Linked DNA regions of Alligator mississippiensis. The protein of the gene in region 2 purifies or fractionates together with the protein of the main gene of each other region. This does not show direct contact. Links are inferred from orthologs where the notes say so. Each region holds a gene or a part of one and is shown on either strand. Other genes may lie near its edges.

What was found. The genes of interacting proteins can lie anywhere in the genome.
Region 1: the proteins of PPP2CA (region 2) and CCDC6 purify together in Homo sapiens (affinity purification with mass spectrometry; 4 studies listed by BioGRID and IntAct, with this or other methods). This does not show direct contact. The link is inferred for Alligator mississippiensis from reciprocal best matches to the Homo sapiens genes PPP2CA and CCDC6.

Annotation. Positions count from the first base shown.
Region 1 is NC_081829.1:47,378,639-47,386,564, forward strand, and holds the start of CCDC6 (coiled-coil domain-containing protein 6), read right to left. Parts: upstream 3,255-7,926; 5' UTR 3,191-3,254; coding exon 2,894-3,190; intron 1-2,893.
Region 2 is NC_081832.1:70,069,562-70,077,964, forward strand, and holds the start of PPP2CA (serine/threonine-protein phosphatase 2A catalytic subunit alpha isoform), read right to left. Parts: upstream 3,361-8,403; 5' UTR 3,265-3,360; coding exon 3,163-3,264; intron 1-3,162. UniProt on the Homo sapiens protein: Catalytic subunit of protein phosphatase 2A (PP2A), a serine/threonine phosphatase involved in the regulation of a wide variety of enzymes, signal transduction pathways, and cellular events.

The DNA.
Region 1 (7,926 bases), on a different chromosome or scaffold from region 2:
GTGTAAAGTATGGTGCACAGTCTTGAAAAGTTATGTTTTATGATGATCCAAAACACTACAACTCTGTATTTTTTTTTAAAAAGTAGACATAATAAGTGACAACTGGCAGGCCACTTTTAATGCTGACAGGCTGAAAAGGGCAAAATATGTCTAAGGAGCAGACAGTAGAAATAGAAAGCACATGTCCATAATTTCAATTGCAAGGTTCCACTTGAAAGAAACATTCTGATACCTTCTCCAAGGCCTCTACCTCCTTACTGATTTTATTTTCCTAATTACCTCTACTTTTTTAAGCTTCAGCAGCTAATTCAAACAACTGACTATACTCTAGATTTTTTTGCTTCATGCTTACCATTATGTTGCCTCATTCTATTTTCAGTATTCTAAATAGTGTGTTTTACTGTCCAAACCACTTCTAAGACCTAATTCAACAGATATTTTTCTAAAGATGTTGATTTACCCAACCCACAGGTTGCTATGGAAATGTTGCACCTTTTCTCCATTCCTCTGAGATCTTGTAAAAAGATCTCCATTAATGGACTGCAGACTTGAACAAAAACAGCAAAAACAGAATTAATGTACGATTAGTATCTAATCTCATCAGCCCCCAAAGTCAACTTCAGAGAATATTTTATGGAAATTAGACTTTTTGTACTTATTATCTTTAGAAATTGTTCAGTGATAATTTTTAAAGTCCTGATGAATATCTCTCTTCACTGCAAAGTCAAAAAAGATTTCCAATTGACAAGATCCCCAACCCCTGACAACAGGGCCGGAAGATACTACTGCTACCTTACAAAAACCACAACATGTATATTTCAGCTAATACTTGATGATAAGTGAATATTTCTGCAACTAGCACTATTTTTGTCAGTCTTCAATAAAAATTCAAACTCTTAGTTTTCACTCATTTTTGACTACAGAAAAATACTAACACAATTCTTCTGTTGCAAATTACACAGGTCAGAATGTTTTGAACACTATGGATTCCCATTTGAAATCTCTAGGTTAAACTTTTCAATCAGGTTTGCACACCTACTAACATAGTGTGGTGACCTGGGGTACCCTTGCAAAGAAACTAAAATACCCCAGGGTGCCACAGCATCCAGGTTAAGACTCACCGTGCTAAACATCAGAATACCTAGTAGGGGAACAAAAGAGGTTCCTCATGATTGGTTCCAGAGCTTCACCCAGACCCACCAGATCTAACAGCCTATATGTCGTTACTACCAATAAGATGTGAAGTTATTACCAATAAAATGATGATTATATTTGGAAAAAAGCTAGGTCTGACAGTAGATGCTTACAACAGACTTTACATTCTAAGAGAATGATGCTGTATACCAATGTCTAGATATCCGAGTAAAGACATGTAGGATCCAACCTAATTTCAACTGTTACAACTTTTATCACAAGTATAAAAAAAACCTGCATGTTAGCTCAGAACTTAAAATACTATCACCTAACTAAACATACCAAGCTATTTACCTAAAAGCACTTAAATATGAATATCATGGAACACTTACGGAAAATAAATTTGTCAATATATTTATAGCCCCATCAGATAATCCAAGGGGCTAATACATTTCTTTTTTTCTCCCTTAAGGTTCATAAATCACTCGCCCTACCTCTCACAGGCCAAAGCAAAGGGCTTCGTACATTTTTTAAATTATTATTTTAAGGTTAACAATGCCCTTATTTATTATTTAAAAGGGTATTCAACTTTTACACAATTTAGTACTTCGACTACCATGTCTACCACAATACTGTAAAAATTCTTCTTTTAAAATACTACTTAAATGAAGGAACAAGCTTTTCAAGTCTTATTTTAAATGAGCTCCCAAGCAATCTATTCAAGTTAACTGGACAGGAAACACACAAACATGTACTAGTATTAGTATAAGAAAGTTTGCAGTTTACCACCACTTGCTGCTCACATTTGCTGCTGATAAAAGCAGGGTATGAAAAACTGTAACTTGCTGATCCTCAAACTATCTTCCACTCCAGTGCACGTCATACCCTGCCTGAAGGGTTCCGTGAAATCCCTAGACTTATTCTTTGCACAAAATTCCCAGAGGCTTCCTTCCCATTAAAACGATTTTATACCATCTACCTTAACAAGGTCACACTTGTCAGTTGTCTAACATGAAAAGCTGTACCGGTAAAATCCCAGGTATTAACATGAAATTAAGCACTTATTCTTTAATAGCCACGGTGAAGAAATCATCAATTTTGGTCCCCTGTTTGATTTAATCACGTCTAATCGTATTCACGCAGCATCTGGGGGTGGTGCAGAACCATCAGCAGGAAGAGTAAGATGCCTAAACCAGCCATTCTCAACCCGAGGCCCATGTAATGCCTGCCCTGCAGTGTGTGTACACACAACTCATAACAAACCTACAACCTTAAAAGCCTCTGCCGTGCTGAGGTCTTCCCAAGTTCCTTGCAAAAGGAGAACTGCTTTGATATTTTCTTGTAAGCAAAGAAACACCAAGCACTGGCATTTTCACGGGAACTGCCTCCAGTCTAAAACAAGGTCGAGAGCTGCTGACCTGAGCAACGGTGGGGCCCCCAATGCTATTTTTGGCTCCTGCTATTAAGGGAGAAAAAGAACCAATTTTACAGGAGGCAGACCAGGCCCAGGGCAGGTTTCAGAGCTGCTGGAGGAGATCCAGACGGTGGAGGCAGCAGACCCCAGGCAGGGGCAGCGCGGGACTGGGACTCAGAACTGCCCCGGGCCGCGGCAGGGAGGGGGAAGGATCCTGCTGGAGCCCAAACACCCCGAGGCCTCCGGCCCCGCCCGGCCGCCCCGCCCCGAGGGTCTTAGGGCCCCTTCGCCGCCCCCAGTGCGCGGTAAGGCGCCACCCTCCCCGCGGCCTGGCCGGGCACTCACGATGGTGACGCTGGCCTTGCGCAGGTCGCGGTTCTCCTCCTGCAGCGCCTTGCACTTGAGCTTGTAGGTCTCCAGCTCGATCTTGAGTACCTTGTTTTCCTGCTGCAGCGAGGCCAGGCGGTTCGTCAGCTCCTCCAGCCGGAACGGCGAGATCACGATGCCGCCCGCCTTACCGCCGCCGCCCACGCCCGGCCCAGCCGCGCTGCTGCCGCCGCCCCCGCCACCCGCCAGAGCCCCCGGCGCCCCGCCGCTGCCGCCCGCGCCGTCCGTGTCGCTCTCGCTCGCGCTGTCCGCCATAGCCGCCGCCGCCCGACCGCCAAGAGGGCAAGAGGAAAGGGGCGGGGTGGCAGCGCGGACTGCCCGACCGGGCCCCAGGGCGCAGGCTCCGCCCCGCCCCGCGCCTCATGGGAGCTGTCCGCGCCGCTCGCACCCGCCTGCTGCAGCGCCCCCGCGCGCCGCCAGCCTGCCCCGCAGCGAAGAGTGCCGCGGCCAATGGCCAGAACAATAACAATTGTAATAGTGATTATTACTATTGTTATAATTATAATAATTATTGTTATTATTAACAGCCATGAATCCGGAGTTGAGAGAGAGCTTGTATTATAATGATAATTCTTACTAATAATAAGTATCGCTATTAGAAGCAGTATTACTATTCCTGCTCTTAATAGCAACAATATTGGTTATCAATAATCATTGTTATTCTAATACAGAAATTACTGATGAGAATGATGACTGCAATTGCTATTAACAGCAATAATAATGCTAACTGTTGTCATTACAACTATTGTTCATAATTATGTGTGGCAGGGCACATAGGACAGAGGCAGCCTACCCCTGGGCCCTGCAGGCCAGGCAGAGCTCCACAGCTGTGGGTTGCCTGAGCAGCAGGCTAATGGGCAGCTGCAGGTGGCCAGCTGATCGAAAAGAGGCAGGGCACTGGGCATGCAAGGATCCTGGTTTTCTCGGATTTAAAAAAATTCCCAGTTTTGGGTTAAAAAAATCCCCAAATCCACATTTTTCTGTGATTTAAATGAAACGCTGCTAATACATAGATCAGTGGTTCCCAGCTGTTTTTTGCTGTGACCCGCTGTTGGGAGCAGAGTGCGGCAGCAGCCCTAAGGCAGGGGAGCTCACGGCATGTGGCACAGCTCGTCCTATGTGTGCAGCTCCACTGGCATTGCCCCCGTGCCCTCATTTGGATCATGACCCAAGGTTGGGAATTGCTGATACAGATATACTAGCCAATTGCCTGTCAAGAATGACGGGGAGGGGGGCAAGGACAGAGGCCTGCGTCCCTTCCCCACCCCTGCCTCAGGCTGGGGATGGGGTCGGGGCCATTCCCCCTCTCTGCCCCCACTGCTTCCGGCCGTAACCCCTCCTACCTTTCCTGCTCCCCTCCCTCCCCTGTTCCCCAGTGCCTCCTCTCCCTGCCAGCTGTTGTTGGAGGGGGCGGCGCCAGCCCCTGCCTCCAAGGAGCGGGGGAGGAGGGGGAGGCCAGGGAAGCTGGCCCTGCCATCCCCACAGTCATGGCGGCTCTACACTGTCTGTCCCTGTCTGTGTAGGGCACTCTGATCAGCTGCTGAGACAGCCAATCAGAGCGCAAATAAATCACTATGGACAGACAGACAGACAGACTGACTTAGGCTTTTATAATATTAGAATATAGAGTGGTGTTTCATTTAAATCACAGAAAAATGTGGATTTGGACTTTTTTTTAATTGAAAATTGGGGATTTTTTTTAAATCAGAAAAAACTGGGATATGGGGCTGTAAGGGGAGGTACGGAGGCCTCATTAGTGCCCAGAAGAGTGCAACCAGACAAGGGCTGGAGGGCCGGGCAGCAGGGGGGCTGCAGCCACATAGGGCCCAGTGACTGGAAGAAACCAATTAGAGCTAGTACCTCAGACCCAGGTCTGACACAGTGGGCCTAGGCTAGAAGGCCTAGTGAAATTAAAGGGGTAGAGGCTGAGTAGGCCAAGGCCCTAATAAAGGAAAATACATTTGTGTAACACCCACGAGGCATGGGGCATGGTGTAAGGCAGCATTTCTCAACCCATGGTTTGCAACCCAAAAGTGGGTCACAAAAATATATGATAGGGTCATGAAGAAACTTTAAAAATGGATTCTTCATTAAAGGAGAAAAATGTGGAAAACCGTGGGTTTACCCTTGTCAGCTGGCAGAGTTCTAGCCAGCAAGGGGTTGCTCAGGGCTCCCTCATGCCCCACTTCCCCCCCCACGCACACACTGGGGGTGGGGGGCTGGGGCCCAGCGGCCAGTGGGTTGGGAGTGAGGGCACTGGGTTGGTACTCACCATTGAAATTTACAAATGGGTCCTCATACAAAAAATGTTGATGTAGGAGAGGTTTGGAGCCCAAGGACCAGTGAGTTCTTGTGAGTTTCAGTGGGCTGAGGCCACATGAAGGCCTGTGGACAGCCTCCCGATTTATAATTTTACCATCAAGATTTGGTAGGCAAAATGAGGGGATGCCCTTGGGGCGGAGCTGGCACAGTTGCAGAGCCACCAGGAGTATCATGGCCACCCCTGGGGACCCCAACCCATAACATAATGATATTATTAATATGATGATGATGACACTATAACTCTCCTCCCGAGCCTGGGTTTGTGGCTGTTGTGCCTTACAAACACTTAAAGTCTTAATGTGTATTAAAATAAACTGATGCGCATTAAGTGTCACTTAAATCTTGCTTTTTGGTTAATGCACTATAAGACAGGCTAATGCACATTTTCCTACTACCTCACAATGGGAGGTACTTTTACATGTGCTGGGACTTGGTGCCGGGTGCTTTTAATTAGCAAGCTGTTCTAATTAAAAGCACCTATGCATCACGTGTATCAGCATCACTGCATGTCCCCACACTGAAAAAAATGGCAGCAGGGTACTTTGAACTAAAGCTCATCGAACATGTTTTATTTCAAAGCACTCCACCACCACTTCTTCAGTGCAAAGATGCATAGCGATGCTGATGCACATAATGTACAAGGCTGCTGGAATGGAGTGTGTCAATTTTCATGTTCTAGCAGACTCTATTTAATTGAGTCTGACATGCTGGATTTCCAGCGTGTTGGACCAGGCTCCGCTTGTGTGTGTAGGAACCTGGAGGTACTAGATTTAATGCGTATTAACTAAAGTGCGTTGATACATGTGTAGATGCATCCTTAGAGACTGAAAGTTATCATTCCTGTTGCTGATAATTACCATCTCTGCCTACCTGTGGAGCTGTATTAAAAAACAGCAGCACCCCAAGGTTATAAGGCAAAGCAATGAATCAGTCACTTGGTCAGGATTTAATGCTGTATTAGAATTGTGTTACAATTCCTGGTATTGTCACTCAAAGCTGCTTTTGAAAACATAACACTTGTATTACTCCATCATCACCTATCATTTTCTTATGGAATTGCAAGTTGTCCCATTTGCTGCTATTTCCACTGTAGCTTCTCACAGATTTACATATTTCTTCTTAATAATGTAAATCAGCTGTGCCCAAACTTGGTATACAGTGTACCAACATGATATTTGTAACATACTCACACAATTACCAGAATAATCGTATCTTCCCCCTTATTTCTCAATGGAAAGGTTTTCTCAGGAGGACTTTCTTATTGCAACCCTCCTTATGTTTTGGATCTCAGAATAGAAAGTTATTTCTCCTCCCAGGGGGTTCCACTCTTACCTTGATTCATTGATTCTCATGTTGCTGGTTCCTCTCTGGACTCTGATCCTGCCTTGAGATCCCCACATAAACACATGGCCATTTACTTTACTAGGGCTCTCAATGGGTAGTGGGTTCTGCCAAACTAATTCTAAGTATAGGACACATCTACACGTGCACCCTGTCAGGTGCAAATTTGTGCCCCACAGCAGCAGTCAGATCCAGGGCTACTCCTGCCCTGCTCTGCCCCCCACAGCAACCAGGAGGAGCTGCAGGCTCTAGCCTCAGGCTCAGGCTGGAAAGGGGTGCTGTCCTGGAAGGTTGTGGCCAACACACCACGGATACTCCCTGCTCACCCCACACCCGCCCCCCCAGCAGCAGTGGCCAGGGCACTATGTCTGCAAGGGGCTTGAACCACATCCTGCTCCTCCCCCCACCCATGAAACCTAGGCAGTTGGCCATGAACCCTAGGCCCACAGGGTAACCCCAAGACCACACACACTACAGGCAGTTAGCAATAAACACCAAACTTTATTTCTCTCCACCACATAGTAACAGATCCCCCTCCCTCCCAGCAACACACCCCTCCTAACCCCAATGTACACTAACAATAGAGGTCCTGCTTCCCATACAACTTCAATGTTCATTGTCAACTGCTGGGAGGTAACAGTGGAGTGGAAGCACCTATGACACAGATCCTGGGGAGAGGTGCCCAGTGCCTCTGGTGGCACTACCATAGGTGCAGCTGCTGAAGGGAGGTCAGCAGGTTGGGGGCTTGACCAGAGGCAAGGGCAGATGCTGTCCAGCCTGCTCCCCCTCATCCACCATGGGGCTAGGGCCAGCAGAGCCCATGTGCAGAGCTGGCACATCTACAGGCAGCTCCCCCTCAGGGGTCACATGGCAGCCAGGCAAGCAGTAGGCAGCAGCCTAGGTGGGAGGCCAGGAGCAAGGGGCCATGGCTGCTGCAGGCACCCTGGTGAATAGAGCGTCTCTAATCCCTTGCTGTGTCCCCCTAATGAATTTGTAGGCAGCCACAAGATCACCTCCCAGCCTTCTCTTGCAGAGGCTGAAGAAGTCCAGGGCCTTCAGTCTCTCCTCATAGGGCTTGTCCTGTAAGAACCTAACTGTATGAGTGGCCCTCCTCTGGACCCTCTCGAGTCTATCAACATCCTTCTTGAAGTACAGCACCCAAACCTAGACGCAGTACTCCAACTGCGGTCTGACCAATGCTGCATAGAGGGGAAGTATCACCTCCTTGGTTCTATTTGTCATGCATCTACTAATGCATGATAAAGTGCGGTTAGCTTTGCTGATGATTTCATGACACTGGTGACTCATGTTCATCTTGGAGTCCACTA
Region 2 (8,403 bases):
GTCATCAAGAGGCGCTACTTCACAGTCAGGGAAGCCAGGATCTGAAACCAACTTCCAAGAGAAGTGGGGCTCGCTCCTACCCTGGGGGTCTTCAAAAGGAGGCTAGATAATCACCCTGCCGGGGTCATTTGACCCCAGCATCCTTTCCTGCCCATGGCAGGGGGTCAGACTTGATGATCTTCTCAGGTCCCTTCCGACCCTACCAACTATGAAATGAACAAATAACAATAAGTCAAAATTGGACATGCGCTTAACCTGGGTCAGCAGCTCGGTTTAAATTGTTTTTGCCTACTCTTCCTCTGAGGTCTCTGTCAAACCATGACTGCTTACTCACCCGTGAAAAAGAGCAAAGTTGCTGTGGTCTAGCTTCCTCTTATCGAGGGATAAGAACCAGTAACATCAGCAGTCTCCTGAGAACAACTGACAAGTAAATCCCTGCCCACTTTTAATTCACCATAACCTGATCATTTCTCCATATTCAGTGTGCACCAGCTCTTCAAAACTCTTGCTTCTACTGGCTTCTCTAAATATCATGATCTTTTATTTACCCTATACAAGCTCCCTTCTAAGGTAAATTATCCTAGAAGTCCAAATGTTGTTTTTTTTTTGTTTGTTTTTTACAATAAACTTTCCTTCTACAGTCTCTCCTGCCCAATGAACACCACTCCCTTTGCAACTGAAGGTTAATTTTCAACATATATTTCCTTCTATATCCAGACAGCCTGTTGATTCTACAGCAGGCAAAAAAAGTATTTTATGTTCTTACTGCTCAAGACAGTTCTCATCTTGGCACACAAGGTCATCAAAAATAGTTCCGTTTAAGTCAGCTTTCTTTCCCATGAACAGACAGAAGTATTACAGCAATGAGTACCTCATAAATATGTAAGAATTAAGGGCCGGATCAGAAAAGGTATTTAGGTATCTAAACAACCATGAATCCATGAGACTTCAAACTGCAAAAAATCAGGTTGTTTGACGCAGAGAGAGAACACCGATAATAATCGAGTTTCCTTTCTTAAGTATTCACCAATTGCATTCGTGTTGCCTACCCATCCACCAACCATGTTAAATTGTGACTGTGTTATTTAAAAACGTAGCGATCCCTGTAGCATGTATTCCCAAGCATGCTATAAAATGCGGGAGGCAACTCCCGCTTAACGCTGTAACACTCGTTTTACTTTGATACCCAACTCCACTCTTCAAGTTTTGTTATATTGCTCATGGGCATCACACAGCTGGCAGCAGGGAGAGTACACTAGCACCACAGCTCATCAGCAGCACAGTCTCGTTGTGCAAGTTAGCGCCAGTTGGCTTGTGTCACCATCTTGGTTCATCAAAAAACAAACCTGGTCTCGCTTAATGCTATATTCCTTTTAATGCTTGGTTTTTCAGGAACCAATTAAGAGCGCTAAATGGGGGTTTGTCTGTATTTTACTTGAACAAGTATTTGGGAATTTGTACTGGAAACAGGACTGTCCTTAAATGGTTCTTACCCACCCCTTGGAAAAGTACTTTAAGGAAGAGGTTGGTAAATCACAATCAAGCGTTTCACAAAAAAATAATCAAATCCTTTTTGGTATGAAACACTTGTTTGGGATATACCAAACTCTTCCTTAAAAATTCTATACCAAGCAGCACTTTTCCTACTTACAACATGACAATTTAGAGACTCATCACATACCATAATTTGAATAGAAGTACAGTACTGGAATATTTTATAATGGTAAAGTTTGACCATGCTACACTCATAAGCATTTGTCTGTGAAAGCACCTTTGTGTAACTTCATAGAGATTATCAAGGGCACTCTACAAAAAGAGATGGGTTCAATCAGCACACTACAGTAGTCACAGGCACAATGCCAAACCTGTCACTTCAGTGTTAGTGACAACCATAAGGGGGCACATCAGTGACATCTCCCAAATCTGTAATCAGCAGCTCTCCCAAGCACACGCCACAAAAGGTCTTTTTCTCCATGCTAAAATCGTATGAACATACTGAATATACAACACCCCTCTCTTTCGCTGTCACTGCTTTTCAGCTACAAGTCCTGAAGTAACTTGATTCAACACAAGACCTCCATTTGGGACACAAGGTCAACATGACGAGAGGAGCGTGCTCCACCTGCACAATAAATTGTTGCCCCTTAGGAACAGAAACGCAGCATCTCTTGCTGCTCTAAGTTAATCACTGGGAACAGAAACGCAGCATCTCTTGCTCCAAGTCAAATCATCGAGCCACACGCTTCCTCGGAAGAGATCGCTCTTTTCACTCGTGCAGGCACACAACGCGACACGACGGTGTCACCAGGCACCCCGAACAGACTGTGCGAAGAAAAGCTGAAATGAATTTGCTCCGACCTATACCTGTCGCTTTCCTTTTTTTTGTGCAAAAGTCTAGTTTACAGATTTCACAGTCATTAGGGCTGGAAGAGACTGTGGCAGATCAAGTCCGGCCCCCCGCTCCAGGGGCTGCAAGTCAGCCAGGGTCACAGGATCCCAGCAAGACCAATTGACTCGTAAAGGAGTCCCAAGTAGGTGCTCACATCGGTCTAAAACAAGGCAAATCACCTCTACCGGGAGTCCCGATTCCCTTTCGCCTCTAGACCAATACGGCCGCGATGCGACCCGACGCGTTCCTTTCGGGCATTAAACGCTTTAGAGACAGGGAAATTCGGAGGAAACAAAACGACGGCTTTAAAAACATTGTGAAAATTTACCGAAGCCGTTCACCCCCGTCTGTCCTGGCACTTGCCCGCGAGGCGGGCGAGTCGGCGTGGACGTCTCTGGCGAGGCAGGGAGCGGGTCGGGAGGAAGCCACGCGGTTTCGGCAACGGGGGCGAGCGCCGGAGCGGCCCGACCACCCCGGGGGTGGTGTCAGGGGCTGGAAGGGGCCTCGCCGCACTGGGGCGGGGAAGCCGGCTGCGACGCGGCGAGGCCGCCGACTCGCGCGGGGAGGGAGACGAGGCGAGCGGGAGGGAGGGAGGGAGGCGCCGCGACCCCGGTGCGGGGGGCGCCTGGGTGCGGTGCAGGCAGGGGGCGGCCCCGCGCTCCCCTCCGCGGCTCCCGGCGCCATTTTAGGAGTCGCGAGGAGGAGGAGGCCGAGGCTGAGGCCTAGGCCGCCGTCTGCCCCGCCCCGCTCCGGCCCGCGCGCCCCGCGCTCACCTTCTCACACAGGCTCTTCACCTGCCCCTCGGACAGCTGCTTGCACTCGTTGAGCTGCTCCACCCACTGGTCCAGCTCCTTGGTGAAGACCTTCTCCTCCATGACTCCCGCCTCCGCACCGGCTCGGCTGCACGCAGCGCTGGCGGCCGGAGCCCGCGGGACGCGCACACACGGCGGCTGGCGGCAGCGGCAGGCGGCTCGTCCGCTGCCCTCCGTGTAATGGCCGCCGCCCTGACGTCACCCTCGGAGGGGGCCCTCCGGAAAGGGGAGGGGACACGGCGCATGCGCCCCGGAGGGCCGCCCCGCGCCTGCGCACTTGGAGGCTTCGGGAGGGGGGAGCGGCTGGGAGGAGTCGTGCGTGTGTTGTGCTGTCGGTGCGGTGGCGCATGCGCCGTGGGGTTGCTTGGTGGGGGTGGGCAGCAGCGCGAGCCCTTGGAGGCCCTGCCCAGGTAGGCCGCCCCGCCCCGACCCCGCCGGGAGGAGCGAGGAGAGGTGTCGGATCCAGCTGTGTGGGGCAAGGGGGCTTGGTCTGGCGCCACATGGGAAGGGGCATGAACCTGCCCATCCAACTCCACGCTGCAGGGAGCCGGGCGGGGAGGGGAGGAGGCCCGGCCCAGCCACACCCAGGGAAGGGGGAGGGGAGGGAAGGGAAGGGGTCCAGACCTGCACGTGGCTGGGGGAGGGATCATAGCTTGACGCCTAACCCAGCAGTGCAGGGGGCATAGCCATGGCCTGGCTTCCACTTGCTCGGGATTTTGGCAGAGGGACGGGTGGCACTATTGACCCCCCCCCCGCTGCCAAATTTCCTGACCCCTTCTGCAGCCCCCCAGCTTGCGGGCAGGAGGTGGAGCGCTCCTCGTTGCTCCGGCGGTCCGTCCAGGGAGCCACCCCCGCGCTGCACTGAGAGCGTGAGCCAAAGCAGCGCAACTCCTCTCTAGGTGGCTGGCGATCGCTGTGCTGCCCCAGTGGCTCAGATTGCAGATCTTGGTCATCACGATTGCCCCGTAATTATTTCTTTTGAACTGAGCCAGGGATAAAGAGTAGATCTGAGCTCCAAATTATTGTTTGATGACCAGCCAGAAGAACAGCCCTCTGACTGACGACGCAATTGGTTCATGAAAAGCTGCGTCTTCAGTTGAAATATGGGGACTCGGAACCAGTTTTCTCATAGGGACAGTGTTACCCCGGACTGGGGCAGAGTGGGGCTATGGGAGGGCTGCGGCCACCCAAAAATTCACCGTAGCCCCCACTGCCTGCGTGGTGCAGCCCCGGCCCCACCTGTCCCACCCCACGCAGATCCAGGGACACACGCCCCCCCAGCATGGTCTCCTGGACTAGCAGCGGAAACCACTAGTCGAGCCGCCAGACAAGCGGTGCACAGTGGTGGGAGCCGCCATCCCCTCCTCCTGGTGCCCATCAGCCCTGGCTGGACAGTGTTTGCCCCAGCCCCGACCCCTCCCTCACTGTGGGGGACATTGATCTCCCCTCTCCCTCCCCTTCCACCACTTACCAGCTACACGCCGTATCGACCGTTGTAAAGATGAAACCAGCATTGAAATGGGGTGTCAATTTATAAACATCATAAACGACATTCATCGCAACTTGAAAAGTCCTAAGTTGGGGGCTGCCTGTAGTTCATGTTGGGTATCGGAATATCGGAACCCCTGAAACTTCTCTCCGGCATTTTGATTTTCTTGGAGGACCTAGCAGCCTATCAAATTAAAACTAGTGTTTCATCGGAAAAATATGTGGTATGAATTGATTAAGTAGATCAGACACTAGATAATTAAGAGTGTAATTCTGCACTTGGATTTCTTCCATAGGAGGCACAAAGACTGCATTCAGTATCTGGTATTCTGCTTCTAGAAGTGATTATCTGATGTTTGAGAGGAAGGTTAAATAATAAAAATAAATGCTTACTTTACAATGTTGCACACAGTGGTGGGGGTTGTTTGCACCCACCCAAAGGAGTGGTTAGGTTGTATCCTGAAATAGGAGATGACAATATTAATTCATAGCAATTAGCATGTGAATGGGAATCAGGCTTCCATATATCTTATGTGTAATTAAGGAGATCAATCTGCTCCAGTTGCCAGAATGAGTCAACAGAGTAGTCCTTCACCTTTGTACCCAGTCCTAATGCTTGAGTCAGTGACAAGTGTTTCATGTTGCTGGCATGCTTTAAAAAAAAGGTAAATCAAAGTTGATTACACTTCTATTAACATGAATAACTATTGAGTTGTTATTGGTCATGATTATTCAGCCCCTATTAAAAACCTTCTACAGTGCTAGCTAGCTCTCCAGTGTCCAGAAATGAATTCCATAAGATCATTGACCTTAGGTGTATTAGTGCTTGTAGTAAGATGTGTCATACTAGCCAAACTGCAAGCTCTTTCCTACTTCCTTTTTTATTTTATTTTTTCAAAATAAGGGAGATAGATATCTACAGCTATGAAGAATGGCAGAAACGTTTATATGCAGTTTATTGCAGACCGTTCCATTATAAGATTTCTTGCACTGCCTAAAATATCAGGTATTGGCTTTTTAATGGAGATTGGTTACTGAATTAGTTGGATCCCACTGTTCTGACCAAGTTAGGCAATCCCTGTGCTCGATAACAGGACCATTCCATATAGGAAGTTATTCATGAGATGTGTTTGTCCCCCTCATACTGATAAAGACATTTAAGATTTCCCTTCACTTGATCCTCCTGTACAAATATTCAGTCCTGGTTATTCAGCAGGATTCTTATACTTGTCCCTGATGAATCCTGGTTATTCACTAGTATAAGAATCTCAGTGTCCATTCAAGACTTAAGTGAGGCCAAGGGATGAACCCCATAATTAATGCCATTAAATCTTACCAGGAGCACACTGCTACTACATATGCAGCCTCGTGTGTCTTTGACTGCCTGATGACATTGTATCCCTAAGGCAGCCTCAAGTGGCTTTCTTGAGAGCTGTCATAGTGCAGATGATATTAGTCCCTGTGACACGTCATAGTTATACAAAGGGTAACATAGGTGATGAATTGTAAGAAGTATGAAGCTTTCAGTTTTCAAGGATGAGAGGCTACCCAGTGAGAAATCTTGTTTTGCCTGAACAAGAGAAAGCTAGCACTGGCAGCTATCATATTGCCAGCCTGAGAGAGAAAGCAAATGTGTGTATATTCTGGACCCCTCAAAGGCATTTCACTCTGCTGCACATTAAGTATTAACAACATATAGGATATCTTGCAATAGCCAGTGGGGATGCCTTGTGCTGAATCTATTCAGTCCTACTAAACTGAATCCAGAGAGATGTGAAGGGCATTTGTCACCAGTATCGTCCACTATCTCTTTTACTCGGAACGAGGTGATACTTCTTGGAGAGGTTGTGAGATTACGCAGATTCATATTCCACTAATATGATTACACCAACTGTATGTCTCCACTGAGGTACCTTACACTATTACTAAGATGTCTCGGTGTCTTTAAGAGATGAGCAGATGAGGGGGGTGACTCCACTTTAAGAAAGGATTAGTTTTCGTAAGTCTGATTCACTGTTGTCCTGCATAAAAATAAAACCAGTACATAGCAAGTGCAAAGTGCAAAATTCTGCATTCTGATTTGATGTTTTTTCATATTCACTTCAGACTGATGCCAATGACTTCACAAGGTGAAGGCAGTAGAGAGTTAGGCCCAATTAAATTATGTTTGTGTTAGGCTTAGACAACTAGTTTTAAAGCATTGGCTTTGCTCAGAGTCAAGGCTCCAGCAAGATGAATTGTTAGAAACAGTCCTATTTGGCAAATGATATTCATTATGCTAGACTTTTCCCTGTAATATTTACTTTAGTATTTTTATGTCACACAGATCAAGGGAGGTGTGTTGTTTTCTTTGAGATACTAGAACTAAATCTATGGTATGAAAATTAAACAAATGTAGCATTTGTTAGAAGTATAATCATGTGCTTCACTTAGGAGGAAAAGTATTTCCTTTATGTGACTTAGAGACTTTTCCCAACTCTAATAGAGTTGATGAATGTTTTCATTAGTGATATTGCAGAAGTGTTTAAGAGTATCACAGTAACTTGTACAGAAGTTGCTGTTGTGGTTATCAATAGCCACCAAGGCACAACAGACTTTGTAAACTCTCTGTTTCACCCCATAATTAGACCCTCAGTAGTAGGCAACTGTCAGTCCTTCGGGATCATGGTGTATGTGAGAGAGGTCACCTGGACTTTCAACTTGTATGCCTTGGCAAGAGCATGGAGGAGTGGAGGCTGCCCAGACCTTCTACCCCCACCCTCCCCTTTAGACCATTGAGACAGAATCCAGAGGCCAGACCAAGTCCAGATGTTCAGTGCCTCAAGGGCTGTAGTTAAGTGCATGTCCTTGCTTGTTAGTCTAATAAAAGATATCAAATTCACCCAAGGAACCTTGTCTGCCTATGTCCTTGCATCAGTATCTCTGAAAAACATGCAAGACTGAGGAGAGCATAGCAAATGCTGAGTGTTAGATGCTTGTTGCCTAAGTATTGGGGGTCATGATCTGGTTACATTATGATCAAATTGGAGAGAACTTGGAGCAATTTCCCTTTCATCTGTAGCACGAGGCATGATTTCCCTGCTGAGATAATCTGGGTGTAGTTCCACTAATCCATTCCCTTCCTTTGCAGGGCCTGAGGAATTGGTGTTACCTAGGCTTCTCCTATAGTTCGCCTACAATACATACTTTTGATTTAAACACAGTAGCCTACTTGAATTAAAGTCTTTGGGCTTAATATAGGGGTATCTGTATGAAACTTAATAGTCTGTAAAATGTGGACTGTTGTATATTGATCTCTTCTGGCCTTAAACCCTAAACTAATGATAAACGTAATATAACAATACGAATACCAAATTCTTGGCTGATGCAAGTCAATTGAAGTCCACAGCATTGCATTAGAGATGAATCTAGGTTGGGTCCACAGCTGTGGGATAGAAACAAGGAATCTGCTGCCATCAGAATCTTGCAGTCAACAATAAGCAGAAATAAGGGCCTGCAAAGGAAAGACAAAGGCTATCAGGCTGCAGAAAAGACTGCATGCAGCAAACAGAGTATTAAAATGGGTGTTTTGCCTTGCTCCGAAATGTCCTATAAAGATGTAGCAAGCCCAGGCCCCAGGGGCAGCCGTTCCACCCCCTGGTGGTCAAGGGGCTCCTACTCTAGTCTGGATCCAAGGGGCTCCTACTCCCCTCTGGTCTCAATCCTGTCCCTTGA